2 linked regions of the Nothobranchius furzeri genome follow. The protein of the gene in region 2 interacts with the protein of the main gene of each other region in a biochemical or structural test. Links are inferred from orthologs where the notes say so. Each region holds a gene or a part of one and is shown on either strand. Other genes may lie near its edges.

Evidence for each region. The genes of interacting proteins can lie anywhere in the genome.
Region 1: of the proteins of cdk9 (region 2) and ctdp1, one has a biochemical effect on the other in vitro, tested with the Homo sapiens proteins (3 studies listed by BioGRID). The link is inferred for Nothobranchius furzeri from reciprocal best matches to the Homo sapiens genes CDK9 and CTDP1.

The regions. Positions count from the first base shown.
Region 1 is NC_091751.1:1,631,063-1,636,819, reverse strand, and holds the start of ctdp1 (RNA polymerase II subunit A C-terminal domain phosphatase), read right to left. Parts: upstream 4,018-5,757; 5' UTR 3,809-4,017; coding exon 3,513-3,808; intron 2,623-3,512; coding exon 2,539-2,622; intron 473-2,538; coding exon 379-472; intron 181-378; coding exon 52-180; intron 1-51. Other genes in the region: adck5 (uncharacterized aarF domain-containing protein kinase 5), read left to right, coding at 4,728-4,751. UniProt on the Homo sapiens protein: Processively dephosphorylates 'Ser-2' and 'Ser-5' of the heptad repeats YSPTSPS in the C-terminal domain of the largest RNA polymerase II subunit. This promotes the activity of RNA polymerase II.
Region 2 is NC_091742.1:88,948,535-88,954,374, forward strand, and holds the start of cdk9 (cyclin-dependent kinase 9), read right to left. Parts: upstream 3,787-5,840; 5' UTR 3,683-3,786; coding exon 3,642-3,682; intron 3,503-3,641; coding exon 3,389-3,502; intron 2,852-3,388; coding exon 2,770-2,851; intron 752-2,769; coding exon 661-751; intron 575-660; coding exon 408-574; intron 331-407; coding exon 159-330; intron 80-158; coding exon 1-79. UniProt on the Homo sapiens protein: Protein kinase involved in the regulation of transcription.

The DNA of each region.
Region 1 (5,757 bases), on a different chromosome or scaffold from region 2:
CAGTCTCATTATTGTGATGTTATTGTGAGCACCAGCAGGCGCCGGCTTTACCTTATTGGACATGCGATGGCAGTGCTGCTCAGTGGTGTGGATCAGAGTCTGGTCCAGGTCCACCATGAGGACCAGCTTCTTGTTTCGATGGAGTCTCTGCTGGTCTTCTCTGGCCAGCTGCTTGGCTTGCTGTGCAAATTAATGCAAACAAAGGACAATGTAGGATAAAGTTCAACTACACACATGTATATATATAACCTCACATAATATTGGAGTGTTATTGGTTTAATGTTGTAATTTTCACAGATTTGCAGGCAAGTGAAATTTTCTAATAAAGCTATATGAAGCCACACACACACACACACACACTTCCATCATATAACTCACCTCAGAGCTGACCATCAGTTCAGGGACACTGTGAACCATGGAGACTGTTGCTGTGGAGATGGGAACTTGTTGCTTCCCGTTTGTTCCCTGGAGCCTACGATGGGATAGAGAGAGAGAGAGAGTAGGAGTTCTGCCCTCTGTGCATCTCTCAGACCCTTCAGCAGATTGTGACTGAAAGGATTTATTACAAACATGCAAATGCATGCATTCATGCCTGCAGCAGTTCAGCGTCCAGAGCCCCCAACGTGGACTCATTAAGCCACAAAAGCATGCCCTGACATTTTATCTCACTGCTGAGGTCTCTGTATTAAATACATGCAGCGTCACATTTTTCTGGTTTAGCTTTTGTTCTTGTTCTACCAGCAGCGTGTTTGAAAACAGTTGAGACTTTTATGATTTCATTATTTTGATTATTGATCGATTAGGTTTAATTGTAAATGAACCCCCCAAAATTTTAACTGGAAAACTCGGTTCACACACTTCCAACACACAGCTCGTGTCATCGCGAGATCTGGTTGTTCCGTCAGAATGAAGGTGGTACACACTGCTGCCACCTAGCAGTCGGAGTTTGAAATGCACCACACAAAATAAATAGTTAATGTTTGCATGTAAATTCTCAAAAAAAATCTATCCGTTGCTTTTAAATGGCAATTCAGTATCATAACATAATTTCCCCTCATATGTTGTTTTTATTACTCATTATTGTCTGATGAGGAAGAATGAACCCTTACCACCTGGGTGTTTGCTGTACCCAGCGTAGCAAAAGCCATGTATCAGATTATATGACGACTCGGTGTTGAGTCTTGTTTTTGGTTAAATATATGTAACATGCTAACCTTGCAGAAATTATATAAACATCCTTGAAATGCATCAAAGTCACCTAACATCCATGTGTGATCTCTGGTGCCACCCGCTGGCACCACACAGAACAACACCCAGTACCAAATAGGGCTGTCGCGGTTGAGGAATTCCTCCTGCGGTGATTCAGGGTGGCTTAATATTGCGGTGTGCGATATTATTGCAGCCCTTTTTTATTGCAGTACTATCTAAACATAATGTTTACACATTTAAAAAAGGTTAAAAATTGCCGTGCCTTCTTTAATAACACTTTACTGAATGCAGATCAAAGGGCAGTAACAACACAGATCGCAGTAACGTTTGTTTCTCCGACAGTCGGAGTCCGACTGAACTTAAAAACAACAAAATTCAGGAGAAGGTTAAACTTTTAAATGCAAATTTGGCTGCAGCATCTAACAAATAAGAAACAAGTCCCCATTTTGTTTAGTTGTTTAAAATCAAGCATAAAAAATTACATGTACCGGGCGCACGCGCGCGCGCCGGGGGGCGGGCGCACTATCATTTCACTTTCACACACACGAATGACGGTGCTTTATAGCTCGGCCACGTCCTTGTTACCTACAAGGAAAACCAGCATGTTAACTACGGTTTGAGAGAGGATCTGAGAGGGGTGGCAACATTTCCAGCAACACTGAAAACCCTCTCGGATGGTGCGCTCGTTGCGCTAACGCACACGTACTTGCGTGCGACTCTGGCGAGCAAAGGGAATCTCTCCCGGTTGTTGCTCCACCATGTCAGGGGGTTTCTTTAGGGTGGATGCATTCCTCCTGCAGGTAGCGAGTGAGCTCCAGCTCGGCTCCAACTCTCTTCGGGACGGTTGCAGAAGCAGTGCTTGTCCGGGACTTCAGCAGGTCTCCGAGCATTTATTTATTTATTTATTTTTGCCGCTGGTGGCAGCTCTGTCTCGGCCAAGGACTCTGGCTGCGCAGCAGCTGACGTACTGAAAACCAAAGTGCTCCCAAAGGAGCGAAGTAACGTTTCGTTTTGATACCAGTGCAGCCATCCTTCTCAACATGCATCATTGAGTTGAACCAAGTTCAGTAATCGCGGTGGCGCATGATGCAGCGCGGTGGGCTTCTTCATATCGCGATATTTCATTTTTGCGGTTACCGCGACAGCCCTAGTACCAAACACTGCTCTCGCTGCAACATGACATTTATTCAGCCTATTTTACCAACTTTTTTAAATGATCAGCATGTGTCCAACAATAACTAAACAGAAACAATGTCCATCCACATCTGGAACTGGGAAAGGAGGAGCAACAGCTGAAAACAAGTAGATTCTGAGTCAATGTGTCCTTACTGAGTAAGATCCTGGCCACACTCGGCGCACAAGCCCTTCATGACAATGGGATGGCTGCACTGTTCAATCCTGACGATGACACCACTAAAAAGACAGATGGTGAGAGAATAAAACAATTATTACAGCACCCACATGTTTATTAAACACGTATTTCAGCTATTGTGGCTCATATAGATGTTTGTCTCTATTTACACTATTACAAATAAATGGGCTACACACACACTGGTGCTGCTATGTAATTAGAATTAAATTAAATAAAGCTGATTCATCCAATGAAGGCAACACTTTTATTGTAGTACAATTAAGGCTGAGTTAAATCCTGATTAGTATCAAGCTGTCATGTTTGCAAATAAAAAAACAGCATGGTTTTTTTTTTGTTTGAAGTAGGATTTTACAAAATGCACCTGAAGGCCACAAGAATAGGCAATAATATAATTACATCACTTCAGGTTTATATCAGTAAATGAAGAGTGAGGTAATGATTTTCCTGTTTCCTGACTGTCTAAAACCTGAAAACGTCCCTGACAGCACTGTGCAAACGTGTTGTTTTCTTCCTATATTGATCTGATTGTTGACTCAAACACACCACAACACTGCCCAGCATGGTGGTGCTTTCAAAATAAAAGTATCGCCTGCTCTTCTTGAAAAACGCAGCTTTGAATTTACAGCAGCGGTGATCGCACACACTTTTATTTCCACACATGTTCCATAATATATTGGATAAATTCACAATACGACGTTTAAAACCAATTCTGAGACTGACGTATACGAACTTCCGCTCTTACTTCCAAGACAACTGTTGTTTTAGGGTTAACTTACTAGCAACAATGCTAATCAAGTTAGCCGTGTTAGCTACTGGCTAACTGACGTTCAAGCAGGGATGCTTTCAAAAAAGTATTTTCAAAACTTTTTTTTATTTGTTTGGCTGTAGATTTTCTTAGAAGGGGTGTGCTGTAGTAAACAGAGCGACTCACCCTGGAGGAATGATTTGTCCAACTTGACAACCTAGCTCCTTCACTACTCCAGAACGGTCTGATTTCACCTTCTTCTCGGGCAGCCTGGCAGCCCCCGTCCCCTTCTCCCGAGGCATGGGAGCACACAGTGCCAGCACAGAGTCCACGTTAACCAGAGATCCGGGCTTGACTTTCCACTCTAGAAGCCGCAGAGGGAGAGCCCCGCTGGGAGAGCACATATCTGCCACCTGCACTGCGGGGCCCTCCGCAGCAGCATCGCCGCCGCCGCCACCAGAATCAGCAGGAGGATCCTCCATCTGTCCTGCAGTCTCCAGAACCTCTTTCGTTTTCTGCACCAGTCCACTTTATACGTATCAAACCCACCTCGCGATGGCCAGTGTGTCAATGTAGCAAACGAATCACGTGTTTGATCAATAAAACAAATGTCCTGGAGATTTAAACACCGTGGCTGCTGTCTCGTTCGCTCTTCCCGCCCGTAAACAGGAAAGCGCAACACTGCAGCGACGCACGTCGCAAAGCTAGGGGTTTGCCGAAAAGTGTATCCCTGTCACACTGGTCAGGGAAAAGGTTTGAAAATAACATTTGAATGAAAGTTTGATGTCAATCAGGTTGTGTTGCATATTTTTTACATACGATTTTTAAAACACCACATTTTACGGGGAGTAATTTTAATTTTGTTTAGAAGTGAGATGATCGTATTTACACTGAAAAGCACACAGTAATAGAATCTTTGCAGATTTTGGACTGACGTCAAATCTTACGCTTCATGGCTAGGGTGCTTTTTTCGACATGACACCGGTAAGCAGGCGGACAGGAAGAACGGGACACTTTTCTACTTGCCCTTCAAATTAAAAGCGCTGATAAAATTCAATGGATCACACATTTGGTCTTCAAAACCGTGTATTACACTGGACTTTCAAACTTACTTCTGTGCACTTTATTCCAGTTTACAATTCAAAATGACAGAAAGTTGTGCGTGTTTACCAACTGTATAAAATAAGGACATGCACTCATATTGGACTCAGCGGATTCCACGATTTTATTTTTAAATAAGAAGACGAAAACGGAAGTGGGTGGGTGCGGTTTCTCTTGCACTCCAGTCTTCTGACCAAAAGTCATGCTAGTGTTAGCTGAAGAAGGTTCTCAGACTGCTGGCGACCTCTTTGACAAGAATTCACGGCTGTGAGCAGGGTGTTAATATTATCAGAGGGAAGCATGACATGGGGGACTTCTGGAGTGGTAAATAAACAAAAATCTGAATCTATGTCTAGATCGTTTTGGCAAAGATAGTCATTGATATTAACCTGTTGACTAACAGCTAACGATTATTAGCTATCATCAAGCTATGCAACTAGTAAAGCTAGATGTGCAAGTTGATAGTCATTTAATTCAACTTAATATATTTATTTATTCATATTTCACTGCATTAAAACATCTGTTGTTTGAAGTTCCATCTCAGTTTGGCAACTAAACAAAAACTGTCTCTTCGTTACTCTGAGCTCCTGATTGGTCCAGTACATCTGTGGTCCTCAAGGGTCTAAATGTGTGCCTGACGCAGTGGCGCTCCTAGAAAGTTTTCTTCGAGGGGAGCCAGTGCAAAATTTGAGATGGCACCAAATTTGTTCCTGTGGTAAATAATGGAGGATTTAAGCCTGATTCATGCTTCTCCATCAGCTCCAACAGGGAGAGACACGCACGGAGATGTTCTCCGTCTCCTGTGGAGCGTTGCAATGCACTTCCCCGCCAGGACAGCAGAGGGCGTAGCGCTGTTCTGTGGTATCCTGTCATGTATCGGTCCAAGATAGTGTGTTTATATTGTGTTTTTTGTATATAAGAGACTTTTTAACACGGACATATTTGTCTCTCATTCTCCTCCACCTCTTCATGCGCTCGCCACCTCGAAACCCACGTTTCCTGTCATTTCCATCCACAAATAAAACGCTTGCTGCGCATCTTTTCACTCCTCCAGTCACGGGGGATTAAACGTTCATATTTTTAGGTTTTTTTTTGCGAGGTATTCTTCAAGCTGCTCCGCTTCTGCCGCTCGGCTCTCTTTATGTTTTTGAGGGCGCAGTGGCGGCGGTGTAGACAACAGCGGCGTCCTGACCAATCACAAGCTTGCGTTGTCCGTCTCGACGGATGGATGTTTAGAAAAGAGAGCTAGACTCTGTCCGTCCTTGCGGAGCTCTCCGGCAGGCCCGCGAGGACGGATAATGGTGTTGCGTGTCTCCGCTCTGACGGAGAA
Region 2 (5,840 bases):
ATGGGACTCCTGGTCCACATCTCCGCCATGATGCAACCCGCTCCCCACAGGTCTATGGGGGGTCCGTAGTCCCGCTCACCTGAAGGACACAGAGCCAGGTTCTGTTAGAGGGTTCTTTGTTACAGAACGTTCCTTCAGAAGTCCAGAGAGGCTCATACCCAGCAGCAGCTCCGGAGGTCGGTACCAGAGCGTGACGACCCGGTTGGTGTAGCGGTTCCCCTGACTGTTCTTAGCCAGGCTGAAGGCCCGAGCCAAGCCAAAGTCCGCCAGCTTCAGGACGCCGTCTCTGGTGATGAGCACGTTGGCGGCCTTCATGTCTCGGTGCAGAATCTGAACCAGAACACACGATTTAGGACCGGGCCCACTTGAGACCGGGTCTTTAATGTTCTGCTTCTGATCGGTCTCACCTTGTTCCTGTGGATGTAGTACAGCCCGTTCAGCAGCATCTGCATCACCTTCTTGATCTCTGCCAGCGTGAATTTCACATTAGCGTTGCTCAGCAGCCCGGCCAGGTCGTGCTCGCAGAAGTCGAACACCAGGTAGATGCTGCCTTTGTACCGGTTGAACTGGGTCGCTGCAACAACAAAAACACTGGGTGTCACCTTCAGCTCCAGCAGCAGATGGTTCCTGCAGCTGAAGATCCGGCCTGAAGCCACTAACCTTTGGTTCTGCAGATCTCAATCAGGTTCACCACGTTCTCGTGTTTCAGCAGCTGCAGGATCTTGATCTCCCTCAGAGCTGTGATGGGGAACTGAAACGAAACGAAGACTGAGCGATGCTGGAGATGCGGTCCACGCGGTGATATTAATGAGACGACTCGGGTCATTTGTTTATGTTCATATTACTTTAACCAAAGTGAGCTGTAATCTAAGACAGCGGTGTCGTCCCTCTCATGTCTCCATCTGTGCATGAAAATGGTTCTCCACCTTCACACAGCTGATCATCAGTGGTGATCAATACATCTACCCAGCTGTTGAAGTTCTCCAGACTGAATGAAGGAGCCTCAGTGAAAGACTCCTGTCATGTCTGCACCACATATTTCTATCCTGAACTCAGATAAGAGCTCTCCAGCATTCACCCCACCACCTTCAAACCAGTGAGAAGTTCTAACGTGTTCTTCAGCTTCACCAGAGTCAAAATGATTGGGAGGTCAGGGGTTCGATTCCTGGACGGGTCATACCAAAGACTTTGAAAAAATGGGACCCAATGCCTCCCTGCTTGACACTCAGCATAGGGGTTGGATTGGGGGGTTAAACCACCAAATAGTTCCAGAGCGCGGCTTGTCTGCAGCTCACCGCTCCCGCAGGGGATGGGTCAAATGCGGAGAATAAATTTCGCACACACACCTGTGTGTGTGACAACTAATGGGACTTTAACTTTAGATGCTGTGAACCCCCCCCCCCCCCCCCCCCAATTGGTGGACTTCAGCCTGGCGAGGTCATCAGCTGGAGGAGTCAATGTGCTCTTCACGCCTCCCAAGATCTCCCTCCCACCTGTGACTGTACAGTAGATGAGCGCCTTATGGGCCATTCCCATCTGTACCGGGTCGGCCCGGGCCGGGTAGCGTAGGTTGTTTACATATCTGGGTGGCCTGGTATTTTTCCGGGCCAACCAAGGCTCATTCTCAGCCCTCTTCTCGAGGGGGTCTGCTTCAGGCCGACCAGGGCCAACACACCCACTGCTGACAGCAAATTCACACCTTCCATTAGAGCAAGCCTCTGATTGGTGGGTAGAATCAGCCCACATGGGCTTAAGGAAAGGGTGTGTGGAATCAACCGGGCCAGGCTGGGGCCGACTGGGGCTACCTGGCCCAGGCTGACCCGGTACAGATGGGAATGGCCCATCTGATGGCTGCTCTCGCTGGGGGAAGAAGGATCCCAGCCCCACCCCGCCTTCCTATTGGGAGTCTCATGTTGTGGACTGTTGATGTTCATGCTTATATGTCTGAGGTGTTTTTTTGCAGAGCAAAGCTGCCCTCCCTGTGGAGGGTAGCTCTGAAGTGCCTTTTTTCCCTCCACCTGAACCAATCCTCATGTAACCCTCTTATCTCTATTAAGGTAGCGCGACTCAGGGTTGCGAATGACCACAGTCACCAATTCTTGTCATGTGTCTTGCCCATGTGTGTCTGATCTCTGAATTGTGTGTACTGAAACTCTAATTTCCCTCTGGGATTAATAAAGTATCTTTGATTTGATCTCAGCTGTGATTTTAACCACAACAAGCAGCAACAGAAACTCAGATCTGTCTTGTTTCAGGCTCTCTTCAGGCTGCAGGAGAGCAGGGGCCACTCTGGGACGTGGATCAGGGATGCACCCATGACCGTACCAGTATCAGGTACTGCCCAGACACAACACAACCAATACCGACCACGTGGGTCCACTGTGGTGGACGTTAAACCCTGTTCACTTGTTCTAAGCTTTAGCGCACTCGAGTGGGGATCCAATTAGAGCCCTGCAATGGGACTGGTATCCCACGGGTCCCAATGCTAATCTCAGCAAGGCGAGCGACTGAGGACAAAACTGTGGGCACCACATTAACCTGCTAGAAGATGGAGAGTTCAACTGAGGTAGCTAACATGGAGAGGCGGGTTTGGACGCGGATGCTGTGAGAGCCGGTGGTGATGAAGAAATCAGCTCTAGTTCGAGCCTCTGAGGCCCAGGAACATCCAGCTGTTCAGACCCATATGATTGCCAGCTTCACACTTCAGATCATAACTGACGTAAAGTCTTTCAACATCTCTAAATGAGCTACCAGGTTCTCGTCTCTCACCCCTTCCTTTTCATTTTCCATCAGGACTTTCTTCAGAGCAACCTTCTTCTGCGTCTGCCGGTGCTTGGCTTTGAACACCTCCCTGAAAAGACACAAACACACGTTTATCCTGTTTTAGAACAAGGACTTAAATGTTATTGACAAGCGCAAACCCTAATTTCAGAGTAAACATTAGAAATCAGGATCAGTAACAGTCTTGATCCAGTTACCTGTAACCCCTTAAGGCAGGGGTACCCATGTTTTAGTTTTAACCACACCTGATTTTAATCAGCGGGTGATTAACAGGCTTCTGCAGAGCCTGATGAGCTGCTGTACAGTGATTTAACCACTAAAGCGTGTTGGAGCAGAGAAACCGCTAAAACATGCTTTATACCGGCCCGCCAGTGCCAGTTGGCACCCCGAATTAGGTCTTCCTGACGGTCCATCATGGTTTTTCTTTGGATCTTTACTGAGTTTCCGTCCCTGCTGCAACTAAAGACCCTGAAACAGAGCTAGCCCTCCTCTGTGTGCACAACACAGCCAGAACATGGCCGATGCTACATCAGCTAGCACCGCTAGCACAAACACAGACCCGTTCACTTTACCGCACAATGAAACGTCTCAAACACGTCTGTCTCACCCGAAGGTTCCCTGTCCTATCTTGGCCAGTTTCTCGTACTTGGAGAACTCGTCGCAGAAAGGAAACTCCACTCCGTCGTAATATTTGGACATTATGGCGGCCTCGCGGTCCGGCCTGGTGGGGACAAAGAGGTTAGACTGAATATCAGGAAACTTATAGACAGAAAAACCAAGACACACCACACAGACATACCCAAAAACTTAAATATAAAACATATATAACAAATGAGCGAATTCGTAGTTGGAAATCTTACTTTTCAGCCGCGCCAGCGCTGCTAGCTTTCTCCCGCTGCATGACTGCGTTGACGTTCGCCTTTCTTCTTCTTCTTCTGTTTAATGGAGGGTTGGAAACAAACCACAGAGGATATTCTGCCACCAACTGGACAGCAGATGTAACTACAAGTCCCCCAAGGACACGTTCAAAACCCAAAACTCACCCCCAAATCAACTTTTTCCACCCGAATAAACAGGCCCCGGTGTCGGTACAGGATCTGCTCGGGTGCAGAACCGGCTCGGGGTCCTTCGACTGCCGATGACGTCAAAGTAGTTGATTGGCTGAACATGAAGCTTACGGAAGTTACGTTATCACGTTTGATTTTAATTGGTCAGAACAAATTTGCGGTCGTAGTCTTAGCGGTTGTAGTCCTGTAGTCCAAAAATCAACACTTTTTGGAGAAAATATGTTTGAATTTCTAAAGGAAATGTAAAATATAAGCAAATGATAAACGGTGACCCTCAAAAGTTCTTGATGTTGATGAAATAGGGCAAAATAAAATATAAGAAGTTTACTGAAAGACACCAAGAAATATTTTGAGTCAAAGAATGTATTTAGATAACAACTAAGGAAATATACAGACGAAGTCCCCATTAATACAAACAGATATGGCTTCACATGTAAGAACTGTTCTATTTTTTGTCAGTCTGATGTTGGTTTTATGCAGTTTCACATTTTTTACAAAACAAAGATAATATGGTGTTTTATTAACAAATTAGAATTATAAAGAAAACATTTAGGTTGATTCTCCAAATCTGAGACCATGGTTCTCGACCGGGAAAGGGTGGCTTGCCAACTCCGGGTCGGGGGAGAGGTCCTACCTCAAGTGGAGGAGTTTAAGTATCTCGGGGGTCTTGTTCACGAGTGAGGGTAGGAGGGATCGGGAGATCGACAGGCGGATTGGTTTGGCGTCTGCAGTGATGCGGACGCTGAGCCGATCTGTCGTGGGGAAGAGGGAGCTGAGCCAGAAAGCCAGGCTCTCGATTTACCGGTCGATCTACGTCCCAATCCTCACCTATGGTCATGAGCTTTGGGTAATGACCAAAAGAACGAGATCGCGGATACAAGCGGCCGAAATGAGTTTCCTCCGTAGGGTGGCCGGGCTCAGCCTTAGAGATAGGGTGAGGAGCTCGGACATTCGGGAGGGACTCGGAGTAGAACCGCTGCTCCTCCGGATCGAAAGGAGTCAGTTGAGGTGGTTTGGGCATCTGGTCAGGATGCCTCCTGGACGCCTCCCCGGGGAGGTGTTTCGGGCATGTCCTGCCGGCAGAAGGTCCCCGGGTCGACCCAGGACACGTTGGAGAGGTTACATCTCCAATCTGGTCTGGGAACGCCTTGGGGTCCTGCCGGAGGAGCTGGTGGACAAGGCCGGGGAGAGGACGGCCTGGAGCTCCCTAGTTGGGATGCTGCCCCCGCGACCCGGACCCGGATAAGCGGAGGAAGACGACGACGACGACATTTAGGTGTTAACGAACAAGAATTTATTAACAAAACTGCTGATGTCTTTCCAAAACGTATGTGTGAAAGCCGAGTAGAGTTGCAGTCATGTGACAGAAGGTCCTAGCCAGGAGACGCTGATGGTGGATGCTAACGTAAAGCGTATATCCAGTGTCTTTATTTGTATTTACTTCTAGTTTTCTAAATGTGGCAAGGTGGAGAAACGAGGGCCCGGGTGGGATTTGATCCCCAGACTACCGGAAGTACCAAAAATTGCAGTTCCACCGTCATCCACTAGGGGCTGGTGTCAGAAGCGAGCAAATCCTCATTGACTCCCATGTTAAAAATACCAATTTCATAGCAGAAATAAACATGTTTACAGCCTGGTACCAAAACATGTTTTTGGTTTAAATGATCTAGTTTACACTCATGACAACTCTGAGGGGGGTGAATTTTTTTCTCACTCTTCTGTTTAAGTGTGTTAAAAGCCTAAAATTCTGTATAATTAATGAGCATCAGACCCACGTGACCACAGAGCTAGCTCCATGGAAAGGCCTCAGTAGAGCCTCGGTCTGGCCTGGAAACTGTTCCGGCATCTTGAGTCTCTGTTTGTTTTTTCTGTTTTGGATATTTTTTGTGCAATTGTTGGACAAAATGACTTGCTGTGGCATTAATTGCACTAATAGAGCGTCCAAGGAGTCTCCACTTCATTTTTTTCAGTAAGTAAAATTATATTTATGTA